Anolis sagrei: one gene and its partners. The protein of the gene in region 3 purifies or fractionates together with the protein of the main gene of each other region. This does not show direct contact. Links are inferred from orthologs where the notes say so. Each region holds a gene or a part of one and is shown on either strand. Other genes may lie near its edges.

Evidence for each region. Proteins that work in one complex are often made in the same cells at the same time.
Region 1: the proteins of SKP1 (region 3) and ARHGEF6 purify together in Homo sapiens (affinity purification with mass spectrometry; 3 studies listed by BioGRID and IntAct, with this or other methods). This does not show direct contact. The link is inferred for Anolis sagrei from reciprocal best matches to the Homo sapiens genes SKP1 and ARHGEF6.
Region 2: the proteins of SKP1 (region 3) and YAF2 purify together in Homo sapiens (affinity purification with mass spectrometry; 3 studies listed by BioGRID and IntAct, with this or other methods). This does not show direct contact. The link is inferred for Anolis sagrei from reciprocal best matches to the Homo sapiens genes SKP1 and YAF2.

The regions. Positions count from the first base shown.
Region 1 is NC_090030.1:25,206,471-25,213,450, forward strand, and holds the start of ARHGEF6 (rho guanine nucleotide exchange factor 6), read right to left. Parts: upstream 3,105-6,980; 5' UTR 2,975-3,104; coding exon 2,810-2,974; intron 1-2,809. UniProt on the Homo sapiens protein: Acts as a RAC1 guanine nucleotide exchange factor (GEF).
Region 2 is NC_090025.1:136,447,250-136,455,052, reverse strand, and holds the start of YAF2 (YY1-associated factor 2), read left to right. Parts: upstream 1-4,699; 5' UTR 4,700-4,952; coding exon 4,953-4,978; intron 4,979-5,321; coding exon 5,322-5,447; intron 5,448-7,803. UniProt on the Homo sapiens protein: Binds to MYC and inhibits MYC-mediated transactivation. Also binds to MYCN and enhances MYCN-dependent transcriptional activation. Increases calpain 2-mediated proteolysis of YY1 in vitro.
Region 3 is NC_090022.1:92,082,165-92,089,766, forward strand, and holds the start of SKP1 (S-phase kinase-associated protein 1), read left to right. Parts: upstream 1-4,530; 5' UTR 4,531-4,637; intron 4,638-6,929; coding exon 6,930-7,026; intron 7,027-7,602. UniProt on the Homo sapiens protein: Essential component of the SCF (SKP1-CUL1-F-box protein) ubiquitin ligase complex, which mediates the ubiquitination of proteins involved in cell cycle progression, signal transduction and transcription.

The DNA of each region.
Region 1 (6,980 bases), on a different chromosome or scaffold from region 3:
GGACATCCAGCCCCAAATTGGGAAACAAGTCGTCCAGGAATACCTGGCCACTCTAAATGAGTTCAAGTCCCCTTTCAGGGCCAGATCAACTACACCCGAGAGTATTGAAGGAACTAGCAGAAGTAATCTCGGAACCATTGGCAATCATCTTTGAGAGTTCTTAGAGAACGGGAGAAGTTCCAGCAGATTGGAGGAAGGCCAATGTGGTCCCAATCTTCAAGAAGCAAAACAAGGATGACCCAAACAATTACCATCCGGTCAGCCTCACGTCGATACCAGGCAAGATTCTGGAAAAGATTGTTAAGGAAGTGGTCTGCAAACACTTAGAAACAAATGCGGTCATCGCTAATAGTCAACATGGATTTATCAAAAACAAGTCATGCCGGACGCATCTGATCTCTTTTTTCGATAGAGTTACAAGCTGGATAGGTGCGGGGAATGCCGTGGATGTTCTTTCAAGGTGCTTGGCGATTTATGATGACTCTAAGGCAAATATTCATAAATATTGTTTAGAGGCAAATGGCTTTCCCTTTCCTCTGAGGCTGAGAGAGTGTGACTTTCCCGATGGATTTCTGCGGCCAAGTAGGAATCATAGAATCATAGAATCCTAGAGTTGGAAGAGACCTCATGGGCCATCCAGTCCAACCCCCTGCCAAGAAGCAGGAATATTGCATTCAAAGCACCCCTGACAGATGGCCATCCAGCCTCTGGTTAAAAGCCTCCAAAGAAGGAGCCTCCACCACACTCTGGGGCAGAGAGTTCCACTGCTGAACAGCTCTTACAGACAGGAAGTTCTTCCTCATGTTCAGATGGAATCTCCTTTCTTGTTGTGGTGACCCCCAACCATAACATTATTTTCATTTCTACTTCATAACTGTAATTTTGCTACTGTTATGAATCATAATGTAAATATCTGCTATGCAGGATGTATTTTCATTCACTGGACCACATTAGCACAAATATCTGATGCATCCAAATTTGAATGCTGTTGGGGTTGGGGGAGATTGATTTTGTGATTTGGGAGTTGGAGTTGCTGGGATTTATAGTTAACCTGTACTCCACCAACGATAGAATTGAACAAAACTTGACACACAGAACTCCCATGACGTACAGAACATACTTGAAGGTTTGGTGGACATTGCCCAAACGTGAATACTGGTGAAGTTTGTAGAAAATAAACCTTGACATTTGGGAGTTGTTGCTGGGATTTATAGTTCACCTACAATCAAAGAGCATTCTGAACTCCACCAACAATAAAACTGAACATAACTTGACACACAGAACTCCCATGACCTACAGAACATACTCCAAGGTTTGGTGGACATTGCCCAAACGTGAATACTGGTGAAGTTTGGAGAAAATAAACCTTGACATTTGGGAGTTGTTGCTGGGATTTATAGTTCACCTACAATCAAAGCGCATTCTGAACTCCACCAACAATAGAATTGAACAAAACTTGACACACAGAACTCCCATGACCTACAGAAAATACTCAAAGGGTTTGGTGGACATTGCCCAAACATGAATACTGATGAAGTTTGGAGAAAATAAACCTTGACTTTTGCGAGTTGTTGCTGGGATTTATAGTTCACCTACAATCAAAGAGCATTCTGAACTCCACCAATGATAGAATTGGGCCAAACTTCCCTCACAGAAGCCCCATGAACAACAGAAAATATTGTGTTTTCTGATGGTCTTTGGCGACCCCTCTGACATCCCCCTCGCGCAGAGGCGGCCCTAGGTAATTTTCAACGGTATTCAAACAGTATTTTGGCGCCCCACCCCACCCCACCCACCCACCCAACCAATCACTGATATATATTTTCTGTTCGTCGTGGGAGTTCTGTGTGCCATATTTGGTCCAATTATATCATTGGTGGAGTTCTGAATGCTCTTTGGTTGTAGGTGAACTATACATCCCAGTAACTACAACTTGCATATGTTAAGGTCTATTTTCCCCCAAGAGCACCTCAAGAGCACCCCTGTGCAAAATCAACTATACTGCAAAGGCTTACTTTGCGTAATGGTTGAGCCGCCCCTGTGGAGGACCAAGTAAATGCCTAGTGAGGGCATATTTTGTCAGATGTGGGTACATGAGACAGTGGTTTGTACTGATCTCATGGGTTAGGCTCTATAAAGGAACCCAATGATGGCCTTTTCCTATTAGATGGCTCCACTGCCGTCCCTTTCAACACTTCTCAACCTACTGAAGCCTCTCACGAGGTCTCCAAGGGCCGCCCGTAAACAAAAATACATTGCAGTAGTCAAGCCACAAGCATTTCCTATGAGACCACAACTTGGAAAGACCTCAAGGTCTATTTTCCTCCAAGAGCGCCTCAAGAGCGCCCCTGGGCAAAATCAACTATACTGCAAAGGCTTACTTTGTGTAATGGTTGAGCCGCCCCTGTGGAGGACCAAGTAAATGCCTAGTGAGGGCATATTTTGTCAGATGTGGGTACATGAGACAGTGGTTTGTACTGATCTCATGGGTTAGGCTCTATAAAGGAACCCAATGAAGGCCTTTTCCTGTTAGATGGCTCCACTGCCGTCCCTTTCAACACTTCTCAACCTACTGAAGCCTCTCACGAGGTCTCCAAGGGCCGCCCGTAAACAAAAATGCATTGCAGTAGTCAAGCCACAAGCATTTCCTATGAGACCACAACTTGGAAAGACCTCAAGGTCTATTTTCCCCCAAGAGCGCCTCAAGAGCGCCCCTGGCCAAAATCAACTATACTGCAAAGGCTTACTTTGCGTAATGGTTGAGCCGCCCCTGCCCTTGCGACCCCCAGGTTGAGAAACGCTGCCTTACCTTCTCTATAGATCCTGGAAGGAGTCGGAGAAGGAGTTTGCACAAGACGACTCCATCTTTGAGGGACGTTTTGAGGAATTGCAGGGGGTCCCCGACCTTCATTTTCGGGGAGTTCAAGGCTCCCAGTGAAATCAACCAGGTCACAATTTGCTCTTCGGGGTTCATGCTGGTAGGGTTTCTCCGTCTCGATGAAAAGGCCGAGCCACCTCCACAACACTGCCTTCCTGCTTCTTCTGGGCCAAACCGCCCTGAGATGTCACAGATTGCCCTGCGCTGAAAGCCACTGTCCTTTTCTCTTTTTTTTTCCGGTTTACAAAGTCACCAGAAACTGACTTCCCTCTTGACTAGAGGAACGGGTTTGTGCGCATTTGCACACATGGCTTCTCGTCTGCAGAAGTGCCAAGGAGGGAAGCTTCTGGGGCTAGAAGTCGTGCCGTAAACACGGATTTCCTGTGTCGCTGAAAACAGAAACTTCGTGCATCGATAGCTTTCTACATCCTTCCTTCATCTTCAAGGATAGAAGCCTTGGTTACACCTGGAGAATGAGTTGGGACAGGGGCGGCACAATCCAGTACGCAAAGTGAGATGGCAACTACAGATTACTGAAGTCGAACATGACCCCCCCCCCCCCATAAAAGATAGTAACTTATAGTTTTGCTAAGGACAAGCACATGAGACTTGATAATACGGGTTTGTGGCGCAGCTGGCTGAGTGTCAGCTGCATTAAGATCACTCTGACCAAAAAGGTCATGAGTTCGAAGCCAGCCCGGGCTGGAGTGGGTGTCCAGCCATTGTGTAGCCCGTTGTCGACCTTTGCAACCCGAAAGACAGTTGCATCTGTCAAGTAGGAAAATAAGGTACCACCTTGTGTGGGAGGCTAAATTTAACTAATTTATGAGGCCATAAAGAAAAAAGACTCCGGGGAATGTGGAATGCGGAAGAACTTCATCGGTGTTGTTGATGGATGATGAAAAGCAGCAACTCCCCTGGCGGCCAGAAAAAAGTTAAATAGCCTCGGTGTATTTGTCTGTTAAATGTTGTTTGTCAAACTGGCATTGAATGTTTGCCATATATGTGTTTACTGTAATCCGCCCTGAGTCCCCTGCGGGGTGAGAAGGGCGGAATATAAGAACTGTAAATAAATAAATAAATAAATAAATAAATTTATTTATCGTGTCATCAGCAACCATACCATTGTGTTACAATTCTAACACAACAAAACAAATACACAGATTAAAAAAAAACCCACAGATTTTGCAAACTTGGTAGTTGGTTAAATGTCCTTGGACCAGTACCTGGCCACTTGGAGTGCCTCTGGTGTTGCCGCAAGGTGGTCCTCCATTGTGCATGTGGCAGGGCTCAGGGTGCATTGCAGCAGGTGGTCAGTGGTTTGCTCTTCTCCGCACTCGCATGCCGAGGATTCCACCCTGTAACCCCATTTCTTAAGATTGGCTCTGCATCTCGTGGTGCCAGAGCGCAGTCTGTTCAGCGCCTTCCAAGTCGCCCAGTCTTCTGTGTGCCCAGGGGGGAGTCTCTCATCTGGTATCACCCATGGATTGAGGTGCTGGGTTTGGGCCTGCCACTTTTGGACTCTCGCTTGCTGGGGTGTTCCAGCGAGTGTCTCTGTAGATCTAAGAAAACTATGTCTTGATTTAAGTCGTTGACGTGCTGGCTGATACCCAAACAGGGGATGAGCTGGAGATGTCTCTGCCTTGGTCCTTTCACTATTGGCTGCTACTTCCCGGCGGATGTCAGGTGGTGCAATACCGGCTAAGCAGTGTAATTTCTCCAGTGGTGTGGGGCGCAGACACCCCGTGATAATGCGGCATGTCTCATTAAGAGCCACAGCTACTGTTTTAGTGTGGTGAGATGTGTTCCACACTGGGCATGCATACTCAGCAGCAGAGTAGCATAGCGCAAGGGCAGATGTCTTCACTGTGTCTGGTTGTGATCCCCAGGTTGTGCCAGTCAGCTTTCGTATGATGTTGTTTCTAGAACCCACTTTTTGCTTGATGTTCAGGCAGTGCTTCTTGTAGGTCAGAGCACGGTCCAAAGTGACTCCCAGGTATTTGGGTGTGCTGCAATGCTCCAGTGGGATTCCTTCCCAGGTAATCCTCAGAGCTCGGGATGCTTGTCTGTTCTTAAGGTGAAAGGCGCATGTCTGTGTTTTAGATGGATTAGGGATCAGTTGGTTTTCCCTGTAATAGGCAGTAAGAGCACCTATAGCTTCTGAGAACTTATCTTCAACCATCTCAAAGCTCCCTGCTTGAGTGGTAATGGCACGATCATCAGCATAGATGAAGCTCTCTGTCCCTTCTGGCAGTGGCTGGTCATCTGTGTAGATGTTGAACATGGATGGAGCAAGCACGCTCCCCTGAGGCAGGCCGTTCTTCTGTTTCCGCCATCTGCTTCTCTGGCCCTGAACTCAACAAAAAAGCTCCTGTTTTGTAGCAGGTTTCCTATGAGGCGGGTGAGGTGGTAGTCCTTTGTGATATTATACATTTTTCTCAGGAGGAGGCGGTGGGTTAAGCCTTGGTCAATTTGCCAAGACACTAACAACAACAAGGACTCTTCCCATGTTAGATAGTGCGTACATTTAATCAAGTTTTTATTCCCTAGGTTTCATATATAGCAGAAGGTAGCACATTTATAGTGGAGCCCCTGGTGGCGCAGTGGGTTAAACCCCTGTGCCGGCAGGACTGAAGACCGACAGGGGAGAGGCAGATGAGCTCCCTCTATCAGCTCCAGCTCCTCATGTGGGGACATGAGAGAAGCCTCCCACAAGGATAAAAACATCAAAATCATCCAGGTGTCCTTGGGCAACGTCCTTGCAGACGGCCAATTCTCTCACACCAGAAGTGAGTTTCTCAAGTCGCTCCTGACACAACAAAAAAAAGCACATTTATTGCTGAGAAACCACCTCCCTTTACACTTATGTGCTCTCTTGAACTTCTATGGGACTCTGGTGGGAGGGATAAGTGGGTATGCTTTCTATAACATGATTTCTATTTTTATATATTCCTCCCTGTGTATCTGACCTTTTCCTGACCCCTTTGCCCAATTCCCCTTTATTGAAAAATGTATAAAAATATAAGAAGCCACCCCTGTGACCCTGGAAAGAAGGAAATCTCCAGTTGAAAAAGACCCTTATCAAAAGACACTATTTGCATGGACAATAACAAAGGACTGTGACCTCTGGCCTTGGAGTTGGCCCCCCAGAGGAAGCGGTCACTTGGCATTTATGATCATATCTCAACTTGGCATTTATGATCATATCTCAATTTGTCCTATTCTGTTACTGATTCAACTTTTACCCACTGAAACCACAGCCAAAATTCCCTCATTGTTCCTGTCTCTCAGCACTGGAAAAATCCGGATTATGGCAGGCTTGCCAGACAATCAACGTTTCTCAATGACAATAGGAATGGCTGGCTCGCACGCCCCAGGACTCGTTGGCCGTTTGGACATTTCCTACCTCCATAATCCTCCCAAGAATCCATTGTTTCCCTCTCGTCCCGCCTCCCTCCTGATTTGTCAGGATGCCAAGACGGCAGAAGCCCAGCGATTGGCCCAGGTGCTCAGGAGGTGGCCAAGCCTCCTCCCAGCTGTAGAGCGCCAGCCAATCATCGTCGAGCCGGCAGAGGGGCGGGGAATGGGAGATTCAAACCTGGCAGCTCTGTTTTATGTATAAAAAGGCCTTTATTTTTGTACACTGTATGCTCAGCTTGGTGAAATATTGCTGCTTTGCATCCTTTTCAGCTGAATCGCCATAAAATGATCTTGGTGGCACTTCCTTCAACTTTGGTGAGATTTCTTTTGGGAACTTAGGAAAAACCTTTTAAATTGGGCTTCTCTTTGCTCACCATTGTAGCGAACCCTCTTTTTTGTGGGTCCGCAGGGTCTCTCCTTCAGGGCCAGACCCTTTTAAATTCCTCCATGATTTCAATAGTGCTATAAGAGGTCGGATTATACAAAACACTGGGGAATTTCTGTGGGGTTCAGCATGAACTTTAAAGGCTGGGTAAAAACAAATGTATTTTCATTACAATAGTTATTTAACTGGCCAACAGCACCACCTACTGGTAGCTTCACTTTACTCTATCTATGGATTGAATCCATAATTATGAATGCCACAGAAAATCTGTTCTGGTTGCTAAGTTACCACTATGTA
Region 2 (7,803 bases), on a different chromosome or scaffold from region 3:
CAAGGCAGGGTATTGAATAGAATAGGTTTTCTCAGTGAATCTATGTTTGCAACAATACTTTTATTTACTATCTCATTAATTTCAAACCAGACTGAGCCACAGCGAAGTGTGGTCAGGTTTAGCTAGTATATCTATATAAATCTCCCTCTTTAAATAAGATAGAAAGGCAGAACCTATATTGAGATACTGTGCAGACAGAAACCAACCTAATTAATATGCAGTGTCAAATGCTGTATTTAGTTTAGGTTATTATAATCCAGGAATATTGAACTGAAGGAAAATATTTTTAAAATTATTTTTGGAGAAGGAATATGCGATAAATCATTACAACACGGACAATAAACAGATATCCCAAATAATGGGCATCAGTCGGTACAGGTTGAGTGTCCCTTAACCAAAATATTTGGAACTGGAAGTGTTTTGGATCTGATTTTAGATGGTGGGATGTCTGTATTTGCAGATTTGTACATAATGACATATCTTGGAGAAGGGACCCAAGTCGAAACAAGAAATGCATATAGCCTGAATGCACTCTTTTATAGTAATTTTTGTGTGAAGCAATGTTTATGTAAATTGAAGCATTAGAAGCCCTAGTGTGGATCCAGCCTCATGTGGACAATTTTAGATTTGGGAGTATTTCAGATTTCCAAAGTCCGGATAAAGGATGACCAACCTGAACTGATTCTGGTGCCTCCACCTTGCTAGTGGAGTGGGCTGAGTTTATAGCAGTAACAAGCTGTCGGTACTTCAAAAATTTATTTCCAGTTACTGACTCCAATTCCATTTTACTCGAACAACCGGAGGGCTTTCACAGAACATCTTATGACTTCCTACACAAGACACCTCTCAATAGTGGAGACTGGTCATGACGTCCAATCTATTATTTATTTATTTATTTATTTATTTATTTATGCGCTTGTATACCGCTAATATCTCAGCCTAAGTCGGCGACTCATTGCGGTTTACAACAACTAAAAAGTTAAAAACAATTAAAAAACAGTATTCAATTTAAAACATGAAACACATATCTATATGTAAGATAAATCACTCATTCTATATTCTTAAGACTGCAGAAACTATACTTGCAATGGAGTGGACTGAGTGTGTAGCAGCTATGCTTAATCGACAGTAAGAAACTGTAGGTCACACACTTTTTAGACATGCATCACTTCATGACTAGGAAAGTGGAAGTTAAACCAACGCCTTATAAAAGATATAGACATATATATCACTTGTAGTGAAACATGAAAACTTTTCATTTATATTTTTTAAAAATTACTGATTTATTGCTAATTCCACATTGACCACGTGGTTTCTTGTTACCTTCATGCCACACAACTACACACTGCAGCTGATATACTAATGTGTCGCGACACTTAGTTTGAAAGTTCTGCTGTATGTACTTTAGAAATGTATTCCCACTAACTCCAAACCCATTTCACATTAACCAGTGCTTGGATTTCACAGTATACCTCATGGCTTCTTCAGTGGTGGACACTGGTCATGACCTCCAATCAGACATCCTCTCAACGCAGCCAAAGCCAAGCTTTCTAAGGTTTGAGCCACCCTAGGACTTCTTAACCTTTTCGGACCCCTTTCTGCCTGAAAAGAGTTTGTATGACCCAAGGTATATATACAGATAAAACAGGTATACAAAGCAAACATTTACTGATAACCAGCATTTGCAAGGCTTGCTAAACAGGCTGATTTTCCATTTTTATGAAGCACAGCTAAAGCATTTCTTGCAGAGTCCACTGTAAACATTGTAGGTTATTAACTGATTTGTGTAAATGGACAGATTCAAAAACCTTTCACAGTTGCCAAATTTTTCATGATCCCGACATCGAGTTGAAAGGAGACTCCATTTGAGGTTGGGACGCAGTTTACAAAGCAGTGATTTGCACTGTTGGATAACGCAGTCCAAAGTCCAGTATATGCTCAGTGTAGCTCTAGCCCAAGCCTCACTATGGGCCCTTCTACATAGCTGTATAAAATCCAGATTATCTGCTTTGAACTGGATTATCTGGCAGTGTAGACTCAGATAATCCAGTTCAAAGCAGATAACCTGGATGATCTGTCTTGATATTCTGGATTATAAGGCAGTGTAGAAGGGCCCTGAGTGTACTAATAGGAAACAAGACAGTGCTTGTCTGTGTGGGCCCATTCCACACAGCTGAATAAAATCCCACATTTTCTGCATTGGATGAGCTCCCTCTGTCAGCTCCAGCTCCCCATGTAGGTACATGAAAGAAGCCTCCCACAAAGATGGTAAAACATCAAAATATCAGGGCATCTCCTGGGCAACATCCTTGCAGATGGGCAAATTCTCCCACACCAGGAGCGATTTGCAATTTCTCAAGTTGTTCCTGATACACACACAAAAGAAAAAACAAACAAACTCAAAACTATGGGGATCTTCATTGCCAGTGTCTGCTTTGAACTGGATTTTCTGAGTCCACACTGCCATACATTCCTGTCCAAAGCAGAAAATGTGGGGTTTTATTCTGCTGTGTGGAAGGGGCCTGGGTTATGTCTGTGGGCCCTGCCACACAGCCTCATATCCTAGAATATCAAGGCAAAAAATCCCACATTATCTGATAACCCAGTTCAAAGCAGATATTGCGAGATTTCCTGCCTTGAGATGAAGGTTTTAATCCGGATTGGTGACAGATGAGGCCAGGCCCGTAGCCAGGATTTTGTTTGGGGGGGGGGGGCTGAGTTTGTTTGGGGGGGGGTGCTGAGTCTGAGTGAAAGAGGGTCTACCCTAGCAAACATTTTGTATCGTTACCCCAATACCCCAATGCATATGGGACATACTGAGCATGGTGATCAGATCATGATATGAATAAACATAACAGTTTAAATAATGCACCAGTAAGGCCTTCTTGCGGACCACCATGAGAATTTGGGGGGGGGGGGGGGCTGAAGCCCCCCAAGCCCCCCCCCCTGCTACATGCCTAAATGAAGCCCATTTAAGACCCCTTCTACACTTCCCTATATACCATAATCCAATCCCCGATTATTATTTGCTTTTGACTGAGGGTCCTTCCACAAAGCATGAAATCCCACAATATCTACTCTGACCTGGGTTATCAGATAATGTGGGATTTTTTGCCTTGATATTCTAGGATATGAGGCTGTGTGGCAGGACCCACAGACATATAAACCAGGCACCTTCCACACAGCAGAATAAAATCCCACATTTTCTGCTTTGGACACTCAGGTAATGTGGGATTTTCTGCCTTGATATTCTGGGATGTAGGGCTCCGTGGAAGGGCCCTGGGTTATCTGAGTCCACACTCATATAATGTGGGATTTTCTGCCCTGATACTCTGGGATACAGGGCTCTGTGGAAGGGCCCTGGGTTATCTAAGTCCACACTTATATAACGTGGGATTTTCTGCCTTGATATTCTGGGATACAGGGCTGAGTGGAAGGGCCCTGGGGTATCTGAGTCCACACTCATATAACGTGGGATTTTCTGCCTTGATATTCTGGGGTGTAGGGCTCTGTGGAAGGGTCCTGGGTTATCTAATTCCATGCTCATATAATGTGGGATTTTCTGCCTTGATATTCTGGGGTGTAGGGCTCTGTGGAAGGGCCCTGGGTTATCTGAGTGGGATTTTATATAACGTGGGATTTTCTGCCCTGATATTCTGAGATACAGGTCTGTATGAAATGGCCCTGGGCCTACATCCCATATCATATCCTAGAATATCAAGGCAAAAAATCCCACATTGTCTGATAACCCAGTTCAAAGTAGATATTGTGGGATTTCCTGCTTTGTGGAAGGACCCTCAGTCAAATGCTCCACACTCATATAATGTGGGATTTTCTGCCCTGATATTCTGGGATACAGGTCTGTATGGAAGGGCCCTGGGTTATATGAGTCCACACTCATATAATGTGGGATTTTCTGCCTTGATATTCTGGGATTTAGGGCTGTGTGGAAGGGCCCTGGGTTATCTGAGTCCATGGTCATAAAATGTGGGATTTTCTGCCTTGACATTCTGGGATGTAGGGCTCCGTGGAAGGGCCCTGGATTATCTGAGTCCACACTCGTATAATGTGGGATTTTCTGTCTTGACATTCTGGGATGTAGGGCTGCATGGAAGGGCCCTGGGTTATCTAGGGGCCTTTCCACACAGCCGTATAAACGAGAATATCTAGGCAAAAAATCCCACAATATCTGCTTTGAACCGTGTTTCCACACTACCATATATTCCAGTTGAAAGCAGAAAATGTGGTGTTTTATTCAGCTGTGTGGAAGGGGCCTAAGTCCACACTGAGGTAATGTGGAAGGATCCCCCAAGGATCCTAAGAGGGCAGTGTGGAAAGAGGCCTGAGGCTGCGGCCTTCCCTGCCTAAAATGAAAGGCGAAGGGGAGGGGGAATGGCGCTGGTGTCACGGCCGAGGCCTGTGTGGAGAGACAGAAAGAGAGAGAGTGGGAGGGAGAGGGGGGGAGAGAGAGAGAGTCGGCGCAATAGTCGCCCTTCGAAGCCATTCCCCTTCGTGAGTGTGTGTGGTGGTGTGTGTGTGCGCGCGAGGGGCCCCTCCGGCTGCCTCCCCTTGCGCCGTGCTCGCGCCGTGCGCCTGTCTCGCGAGCGGGGATCCCTCTCCGGCTGCCCCCGCCGTCGCCTGGGCCTCGGCCTGGTTGGCGACCGGGGAACACGTGAGGGAGGCGGCGGGCGGGCAGGCAGGCGGGCGGGCGGGCTGCGGGAAGAAGGAGAGGGAGGAGAAGGCGAGGCGGCGGCCGGAGTTCCCCCAACAGCTGGAGGTGGCCGCTCGCTCCAAGTTGTTGTGTCGGCCGCGGCTCCTCCTCTTTCTGCTCCCCTTGCTCGCTTCCCCTCAGCAGCAGCAGCCGCCTCCTCCTCCTCCTCTTCTCGCTCCTCCTTATTGACAAATACACAAAGGGCCGCAGCCGCCGGGCTGGAGACGCGTCTGGAGCCGGCATGGGAGACAAGAAGAGCCCCACAAGGTGAGCCTGCGAGGAGGGCGGCCAGGGGGTTGTTCTCGTGAGGGGCTTCTTCCTCGTCGCCCTCTCTCCCGCCTCCTCTTGTGGCGCGATGGCGGGGAGGCGAAAAGGGACGAGGAAAGGAGAGGAAGCCTGATCACTAGGCCAAGCGAGAGGAGGAGAAGGAGAAAGAGGAGGAGGAGGCACCGGCGGAATAGGTCTCCTCGGGTCGCTTACAAAAGCCTCCCGGTGCCTCTCTCTCTCTCCTTCCCCCGCTCGCTCTCCCCTCCTTATCCTTCCTCCCCTTTTCCCCTCCTCCTTATCCTCCCCCTCTTTCTCTCTCTTTTTATTTCCCGATTCTTTTTAGGCCGAAGCGGCAGCCGAAACCCTCCTCCGACGAGGGCTACTGGGACTGCAGCGTCTGCACCTTCCGCAACAGCGCCGAGGCCTTCAAGTGCATGATGTGCGATGTGAGGAAGGGCACCTCCACCCGGTGAGTGAGCGAGAGGAGACACACACACACACACACACAGCGAGGGAGAGGCCTGAGTGAGTGGCACCGCAGCCCTCCTCCAGCAGAACGGGAGGGAATGGCGGCGAAGGGAGGGAAAGGCCCAAGGAGGCTGCAGGGAGAGCAGAGAGAGAAGGAAGGGAGGAAGGATGGCGGGGAAGGGACAGCAGAGCCGGCCACCATCGCAGCCTTGCTCCTGATCGCCGCCTTTTCTCGGCAAGGGTGACAGGAGGGAGTGGAAGGGATTCCTTTCGCAGGGCCCTTGCACACAGCCCTATAACACAAGAATATCGTGGCAGAAAATACCACAATATCTGCTTTGAAGTGGGTTAACTGAGTCCAATTCAAAGCAGAAAATGTGGGATTTTCTGCCTTGATGTTCTGAGTTATAAGGGCCCTCAGACAACCCAGTTCAAAGCAGATATTATGGGATTTCCTGCCTTGATATTCTGGGTTCTATGGCTGTGTGGAAGGGCCCTCAGATAACTCAGTTCAAAGCAGATATTGTGGGATATTTGGCATTGATATTCTGGTTTTTGTGACTATGTAGAAGGACCTTCAGATAACCCAGTTCAAAGTAGGTATTGTGGAATTTCCTGCCTTGATATTCTAGGTTCTATAGCTGTGTTGAAGGGCCCTCAGATAACCCAGTTCAAAGCAGATATTTTGTGGAACTTCCTGCCTTGATATTCCGGGATATAGGACTGTGGAAGGGCCCTCAGATAACCCAGTTCAAAGCAGATATTGTGGAATTTCCTGCCTTGATATTCTGGGTTCTATGGCTGTGTGGAAGGACCCTCAGATAACTCAGTTCAAGGCAGATATTGTGGGATATTTGGCATTGATATTCTGGGTTTTCTGACTATGTAGAAGGACCTTCAGATAACCCAGCACAAAGTAGATATTGTGGAATTTCCTGCCTTGATATTCTAGGTTCTATAGCTGTGTAGAAGGGCCCTCAGATAACCCAGTTCAAGGCAGATATTGTGGAATTTCCTGCCTTGATATTCTGGGGCCCCTTCCACATAGCTGTATAAAATCCCAAATTTTCTGCTTTGAACTGGAATATATGGCAGTGTGGACTCAGGACCCTTCCATACAGCCCTATATCCCAGAATATCAAGGCAGAAAAATCTCACAATATCTGCTTTGAACTGGGTTATCTGAGGACCCTTCTGCACAGCCCTATATCCCAGAATATCAAGGCAGAAAACCCCACATTATCTGAATGTGGACTCAGATAACCCAGTTCAAAGTAGATATTATAGGATTTTTGGCCTTGATATTCTGGGGTTCTATGGCTGTGTAGAAGGGCCCTTAGATAACCCAGTTCAAGGTAGATATTGTGGAATTTCCTGCCTTGATATTCTGGGGCCCCTTCCACATAGCTGTATAAAATCCCACATTTTCTGCTTTGAACTGGAATATATGGCAGTGTGGACTCGGGACCCTTCCACACAGCCCTATATCCCAGAATATCAAGGCAGAAAATCCCACCTTATCTGAGTGAGGACTCAGATAACCCATTTAAAAGCAGATATTGTGGAATTTCCTGCTTTGATATTCAGGGATATAGGGCTGTGTGGAAGGGTCCTCCAATAACCCAGGATCCATCCACACAGCCCTATATCCCAGAATGTCATGGCAGAAAATCCCACATTATCTGAGTTTGGATTTAGATAGCCCAGTTCAAAGCAGATATTGTGGGATTATCTGGCCTCCAATAACCCAGGGCCCTTCCACACAGCTTTATATCCTAGAGTATAAAGGCGGAAATATCCGCTTTGAACTGGGTTATCTGAATTCACACTGCCATATATTCCAGTTCAAAGCAGAAAACGTGAGATTCTCTGCCTTGATATCTGGGTTATATTGCTGTGTGGAAGGGACCTGGGATACATATTAAGCATCTCTTATCCAGGATTATGAAACACAGTAGACTCTCTAGGGATTGGTAGACACTGGATATAAGTGTCCTTTCCCATTGCTTCAGGGTTACTGTTAAAAATAGGCCCAACTGAAATCTATGCCTCATACTATACCGTGTCATATGCTCTGTACAGGCAGTCCTCAAGTTACGAACATGATCAGTTCTGTAGGTTTGTTCTTAAGTTAGATTTGTATGTAAGTCAAATAATAATAGTAATAATAATGGAATACCATGTATCAGTTTCTTTCCAAATGAATAACTTAACTTCCACATGTTATTTACAATATTGCTGTATAAAACATGGTTTCTATTGTTTTCATTTGATCTGACGAGGAAACAAACTAAAATGATGGAGAATGCTTATACAGGCAGTCCCCAAGTTATGAATTACATAGTTTCTTTAGGTTT
Region 3 (7,602 bases):
TTAACAACAATACAATAATTAAAATAAAGAACAAATTTTAATAAATGTACTCTTATTAGTATTCCAATGGGAAGTGTGGGCCTGCTTTTGGCTGATGAGATAGGATTGTTGTCGTGTGCTTTCAAGTCATTTCAGACTTAGGTTGACCCTGAGCGAGGGCCGGGTAAATGACCTTGGAGGGCCGGATTCGGCCCTCGGGCCTTAGTTTAAGGACCCCTGCTTTAGATCCTTGAATGCTGCTACTTGGGTGTCCATGGAGTTGAGGGTTAGGCAGGAAGCACAGTGGCATGGCCTGAACTGAGTAGGTGAGCTATTGCTCCCCCCAAAGGGAGTGGGTGGGTTGCATGGCTTTAAGGTTTTGAAACTTGCACTGCACACAGGACCTCTTTGTGTGATGACCACGCGGCGAACTACAGTTATAGGTAAGCAAACCTTTCCCTTTTACTGTGCAAATAATGGCCATGAGAAAACCTGCACAGCTTCAGGACCGTGGATGGGGGACCTGAAGGTCTTTCCCTTCCTATGGCTACTCCTGGCAAAAAGAGTGCCATTGAAGCTGCTACTTGCACTTCAAAGGGAACATCACTTAAATACTAATAGCATGTTCAGAGAAGGGATTTTTCTGTCATGTCTGTGAGAGAAAAAGAATAACCCCTCCCTCCCCCTCCCCGTCTGGAAGATGTTTCGCATTTGAGAGCTGTGTAAGGAAAACAGGATATTAATAGGATTCTTTTTCTATAGATGAGTTTTTTTTCCTCTGATAGTTAACTATCCAGATCAAAAAAATAGATTTTAAGGGTTCAGATTTGGCAATCAGTTGTGTTTTACTGCTGAGAGGTATTCAAATCGAGAGAGATAAATCAAAAGATCATAAATGTAAGAGTTTTAATTAGTAGTCATTTGAATTTTACCGAGATGATCCTCCCTGGGTGAAATTACAGTAATATGGCCTAATAAGAAAGCAAACACAATACTAATAGAATGGTATCAGGTGCCAGTTGGATCCAGGCAATATGAAAAGGCTGTACAATAGCTTTAGCTGCATGGACTTTATGTGCCTATTCTGTTGGGCATAATAAATGTCTATGTGGAGTCAGGCCGAAGGCCTCTTAATCCAACGGTGAAAGACTTCACATGATAACACACCTTCGCCTGCATTTCCCCTACCATCTGATAAATTGAGGCATTCCGTTTCCATACTGGGAGTGGTGCATAGTCATCCTGACCTCAACCTCAATTTAAAAATATCTGTATAGACATAACACATCAAGGAGTCCGTAGACTTATGGTGAGTCCTTCATATTCATATTCATTGGGTTTTCTTAGGTAACGGATATTCACAGGTGGGTTTGTAAGTTCCTTCCTCTGAAATGCAGCCCACAGCATTCACAATTCCCTCATCCCAGTAACTCTATACAACGTTTAATAATTTGGCCCAAGAAACAATGTATGTGTACCATCAGAACCATTAGAAAGCACAAGCGCCCCTATCTCAGCTACCCAAGGCGATGCTTTGGGAGGATTTCAGAATTCTGGATAAGGGATGCTCAATTTATACCTGTACTGGGTTGCTGTAAGTTTTTCAGGCTGTATGGTCTTGTTCCAGAAGCATTTTCTCCCAACGTTTTGCCTGGATCTATGGCAGGCATCCTCAGAGGTTGTAAGGTCTGTTGGAAACTAGGAAAGTGGGATTTATATATCTGTGGAATGTCCAGGGTGGGAGAAATAACTCATGTCTGTTTGAGGCAGGCGCAAATGTTTCAATTGGCCACCTTGATTAGCATTTAATAGCCTTGCAGTTTCAAGGTCTGCCTGCTTCCTGCCGGGGAGAATCTTGTGTGTGTGTGTAGGGGGGGGGGGGGGAGTGATTAACTGGCCCTGATTGTTTCTTGTCTGGAATTCCCCCTTTTGAGTTGTTCTTTATTTACTGTTTTGATTTTAGAGGGTTTTTTTCAATATAGGTAGACAGATTTTGTTCATTTTCATAGTTTCCTCCTTTCTGTTGAAATTCTCCACATGCTTATGGATTTCAATGGCTTCTCTGTATAGTCTGACATGGTATTGCTGAAATAAGGCACCTGCTGAGGATGTGGCAAGGAGCAGCAGTATGTGGCATGCCTTTAAGTTACTCCATTTTAGGCCCCAGGAGTTCCCTTCCTCTGAAACAGCCCACAGCCACTGGGATTCTTAGTTTGCGCCTGCCATCCAAGTACTAACCAGGGCTAACCCCATTAATCCTCCAACATCAGAGGGGATCAGGGTATCTAGACCTGGAAGGCTCTTCACACAACTTGTAGAACAAAAGTTCTGGGCGACTTCTGAAAAAGTGTGGCTTTCTGTGGCGTGAACAGCTCATACCAGATTCCTGACAATGTAGGTAATACTGTGGGATGAACACAACAAAGTAGACGCATGTGTTCTCTGCTCAAATGAGGGGCAACAGCCCACAGGTGCAAGCGAGCTCGCAGCTACTACAGCAGCCATACATGTAGCCGAGGGGGGGGGGGGTTGAGGTGCTTCACCCCCCCCCCCAAATTCTCAGGATAGTCCGCAAAAAGGGCCCAGTGGTGTCCTTGTCTGTGCCTGGGCCCTCGGCGCACTCACTTTCCTCTTCGGTGCCCCTGGTTTCAGCCTTCAGTGCCAGGAGAGGCAGGGGAGTGCGCTGACAGCCCTGGCGCCAAAGAGGATGCTGCTGCACCACAGACCGCTCGGAGGCTGCAATAGGCCTTTGTGCCCGTGAGTCGAGCCTGTCGACTGCCTTCTGAGACCTCTCTGGATCCAGGTAAACAACAACTCCCATTTGAAAAGGGGCAATCATTCCCTAATCCATGCCTCTATGAACAGTTGGGCACATTGGCTCCATGCGCCAAGTTTAGTCCAGATCCAGCGTTTGCTTGGTTCAGTGCCCTCTGGATAACTCTCAGATACAAGGTCAATCACTCCCAATCCCCGCCTGTCCTGTATGCACAGTTGGCCGTGTTTGGTCCAGATATGATGTTGGCTGCCTTCGGTGCTTCCTGAATCCAGGTAAACAACAACTACCATTTGAAAAGGGCAATCATTCCCCAATCCCTGCCTGTATTCACTGTTGGGCACAATGGCTCTATGTGCCAAGTTTGGTCCAGATCCAGCGTTGGCTTGGTTCAATGCCCCGTTATATTATTGTTAAACAGTTCTTCTACGTTAAAATGAAGTTCGTGATGCTACTAATATGCTGCCTCCAAAGGCAGGATATATAATTTAGAGCCTGTATCTTTAAGAGTAGGGGAGTTCGGGCCTGACAGCATCCAGGGCAAACGTGGGCCCTCCAGGTGTTTTCCTAACAGGCCCAAGCCCTTCCCTCTTCGCTTCAGCGGCTGAGGGGGGAAAGGAAAGGCCCTGAGGCTGTTGGGAATGGTGGGAATGGAAATCCAACCCCCCTGGAGGGAGGGCCCAGGCTTGCCCGTGCCTGTACTACTCTGAAGCACGTCGGGTTGGCCAGCGCCGCCCTTACGTTTATGACGCGCGCCAGAATGGCCGCCAATGCGAGGCGACGGTTTCCTTGGGAGCGTTTGTTTCCTACGTAGGCGGCCATGGATTCTGCCTGAAGGACCCCAAGGAAGTGAAGGGCCTCTTATTATTTATTTATTTATTTATTTCTTGCACTTATTGACCGCCCCTCTCAGCCCGAAGGCGACTCGGGGCGGTGAACAACAACAACAAGACAATGTACAGTAAATAAAGACAATACAAACCAGACGGATACAACATAACATATACTTATACTAAAAATCCGCTTCGTCAAGTCCTGGGGTCATAGCCGAAATTCGTAGTCCTAGTTCATTCCATTGTCAATTTAACTACACTCAATTGAAGGCCTGTTCAAAGAGCCATGTTTTTAGGCCCCTACGAAAGGCCATCAAGGAGGGCGCCTGTCTAACTTCAGCAGGGAGAGTGTTCCACAGCCGGGGGGCCACCACCGAGAAGGCCCGCTCCCTCGTCCCCGCCAGACGTGCCTGTGAGGCAGGCGGGACCGAGAGAAGGGCCTCCCCGGATGATCTCAAGGCCCTCGTGGGCTCGTAGGCCGAGATGCGGTCTGCGAGGTATTTTGGGCCGGAACCGTTTAGGGCTTTGTAGGATAACACCAGCACCTTAAATTGGGCCCGGTAGCAAATCGGCAGCCAGTGGAGCTGAGACAGCAGAGGCGTTGTATGCTCTCTGCGTCCAGCCCCCGTTAACAACATGGCTGCCGCGCGCTGTACTAGCTGAAGCTTCCGGGCCGTCTTCAAGGGCAGCCCCACGTAGAGAGCGTTGCAGTAGTCGAGGCGGGATGTCTCTCCCGTGCTTTTCCAGCGTTTTCCTCTCATCCCTTTTTCGGGAAACAGTGCGCCTGGAAGTGCCTGGCTCTCCCCTACCTCCCTCCGTCCCGCCTGCCCGTCTTCCGCTGTTCCTCCATCCTCCCGCCCCGCTTTTCCTCCAGCGCAGGCACTTTCATTAGGCGCCTATCCTTCGGAGGCGAAGAGGGCGGAGTCAGCCTCGAATCCCGCCCCGCCCCCAGAACTATAAAAAGCGTGCGGCGGCGCGCGACCTGAGCGCGCTCGGGTTTAGTGTCGAGGCGGGTGGAGCTACGAGGCGTTGCTGCCGCAGCTGCGTTCACGGTGAGCGAGGCTGAGGCCTGGTCCGGGAGTAGGCCTCACTCCACACGGGTTTGGCTTGGAGAGCCGAGGAGACAGCGGAGGGAGGCCTGGTGAGGCGAGGGCGGCGGCGCGGAGGCTCCGCGCAGGTGGTTGCTAAGGGAGAGGCCTCCCGCCTCCGACGAAGGGAAAGGAGAAAGGAAGGATGGGTGACTTAGGAACTTAGCCGGGATTCCTTTCCCTTCTCTGCCTCGACCTTCTTAGCTTCCTTGTCTTGGGACCCCAGAGAGGAATGTCCTCTTGCCTCCCATCTTATAGTCGTCTATTATATTAAGGGAAGCGTGTGTGTATATACAGAATATCTCTATCTGGGATCACCTACCTTTCAGTAGCATCATAAAATGGCTCTCTTCGCTTCCTCGCCAGTGATGTAATCCCTGGCCAGTATTTCCGTGAAGGGATTGAGTCCTGAGTTTTCCAAGTAGCTCCTCCTCTCTGTATGTAGTTGGGAAGATTCAGGGCCAACCAAATATGTTATTGCCAGAAGTACCGTCTTGTTTACTACAGAGAATACTTGCTTAGTCACTCTAGGCATATATTCTGGAACTGCTTAATATTTTTAATATATTTTTTAAATGACAATAGTTTTAATATTAAATAACCCTGCCAAGGCTTTGAGCCAGTGGTATATAAATAAACATAATTGTAATAATTTATATTTATCACTGAGGTAGTTGGTTGGATCGAGAGTTAGTTGTTTTGAATAGTTCCACCTAGATCAGTCATCGTAAACATTACTACAATTGGGTACAGTGTGTCCTCTTGACAAGAGGCTGCCCAAAGTCGGATTTCAATGTTTTTGTTTATTGTTATGCCACCTTTCTCTTGACATGCCAAAACAGTGAACATGACACAATACAATTAAAAACAACACAATTAAAACGTGAATATAATCTTAAAAATATTTTGTGTAATGGAGCATATATATAGTAAAGTAAAAATAAAACGATATTTAAAAACGGCACAGTTTTAAGATTGGCTGGTATAATCATTGTGCAACTAGGTAAGTGATTTCTGGTTCCTAAAGTGTTTTGGACTTCAAATCGCAGCAGCCTCAGCAACTTGACCAATTAGTCCGAGATTCTGGAATCTGAAGTCCAAAGAACTGGAGTTGGCATCACTCATAGATGTTTACAGATATTCCAATCAGATTTTTTTAAAGAGTTGAATGTTTTCACATCTACTATTAGTTTCAAAATAATCATCTGTAAAAAGAGGCCTATTAAATGGCAGTTGGCAAATGTCCTTTGACAAAGGCTATGGGAAGTATTTACTATTATGGCATGAACCTGAGGCATTCTTCTACAAAAATAATAATGTTCTCCTTGTTCAGTATTTCATACTTTTATCACAGGCTAGAAATAATTATGATCAAATATAATAATTTGTGCATGGCTTCAGTATTTTTAAAAAGTCACTTTAATTAGGAATTTCAGAACTTCTAGATACCCTGCAAAGTATATAAGCAAAAGACTGGTTTAGAACTATTGTCTTAATCAAATTATAGAAATTCAAAATATGATGCAGCATCCTCTGATGCTGAGAAGAAATACGCATTACGTTGTTTAAAACTGCAGTATCATATCTTGGATGATTGCCTAGTACAAAATCCGGATGACTGGAATCCAGAGTTCTTGCCAGGAATCAAATCTTTGTAAAAGTACCCAAATAGTTCTTTGAATCTGTAACTCAAACATTATTTATTTGAAGGGGACTACTCCATACTGCAGGTAACAAAGGATTGCTTAAAGTGAACAAGGCAAGCATCAAAGGGTCACAGATAAGTCAGGTAGAAGAAACCAATTTATTAGTGTTCCTATAATGTATTCTTTTGTTCAAACCTAAAATGAGATATTGAAATTATCTGCAATATTATCTAAATATACCTACTTTACTCTAGTACACTCTGTAGATATAGTATGGAGGTACAGAATAAGCACAGGTCAATGTAGAATTCTTTAAAAAATATTTTACTTATGAATTCAATATATGACTTTTAGTAGCCATTGCTATGGCCAGCTCTGCAACTGCACTTTGGGGATAATATTGCCCTGCTTTTCAGAGGTATGAAGATTATTGTACATGGTGTTAAGAGAACTTCAAAATACTTTGTGTATGGCAACATAAGAAAATCTCAGCTTACCCTCAATTTTAAATCTCTTGTACTTGACATATCAGTATGTCAGTTAATATGAAGCAGGACTATCATGTAAGCCTATGGCTCTAAGAATATCGGCTATTATTTTCCTTTTATAGATGCCTTCAATTAAACTGCAGAGTTCTGATGGAGAAATATTTGAAGTTGATGTTGAAATTGCAAAACAGTCTGTAACCATAAAGACCATGTTGGAAGGTAAGGACATTGTGGTGATACTTGATGCAATGGAAAGAAGTGGTTCAGAAATTCTCACAGTAGAAATAGATTAGTTCCTAAATTAATGAAGTATTATTGAAATTCTAACTGAAAGTTTGTGATATATAGTGTGTGTATGTGTGTGTGTGTGTGTGTGTGTGTATATATATAAGTATATTAGTAAACTGCTGACTTCTTTCAAATAGGTATTGTTAATATTGTGCATATATGTGTGTGTACACTCATGTATACTGCTGCCCTTAAGTATTCACAGGTGGACATCCACTTCATTCAACCAACCATTGGATACCAAAGGCCACCATATTTGCTAGCTATTGTGCATTGGATGCAGTGTTCACAAAAGTTTATGTCACAATTAATGTTTTTAGTCTTCAGGATGTTATCACTCCTTTTTTCTGTTTAAGCTTATAGGCTAAATTCTATTCCTCTGCTGGTCTAGTTATGCTGAAACTAAAGGAGTTGATAATAGCAGAAAGAATCAGTCTTCTTCAGTGTTGGCAAAGAAAAAAAAGAAGCAGCAAGTGACAACAGTGGCAACGAGAGAAATAGGCTGCT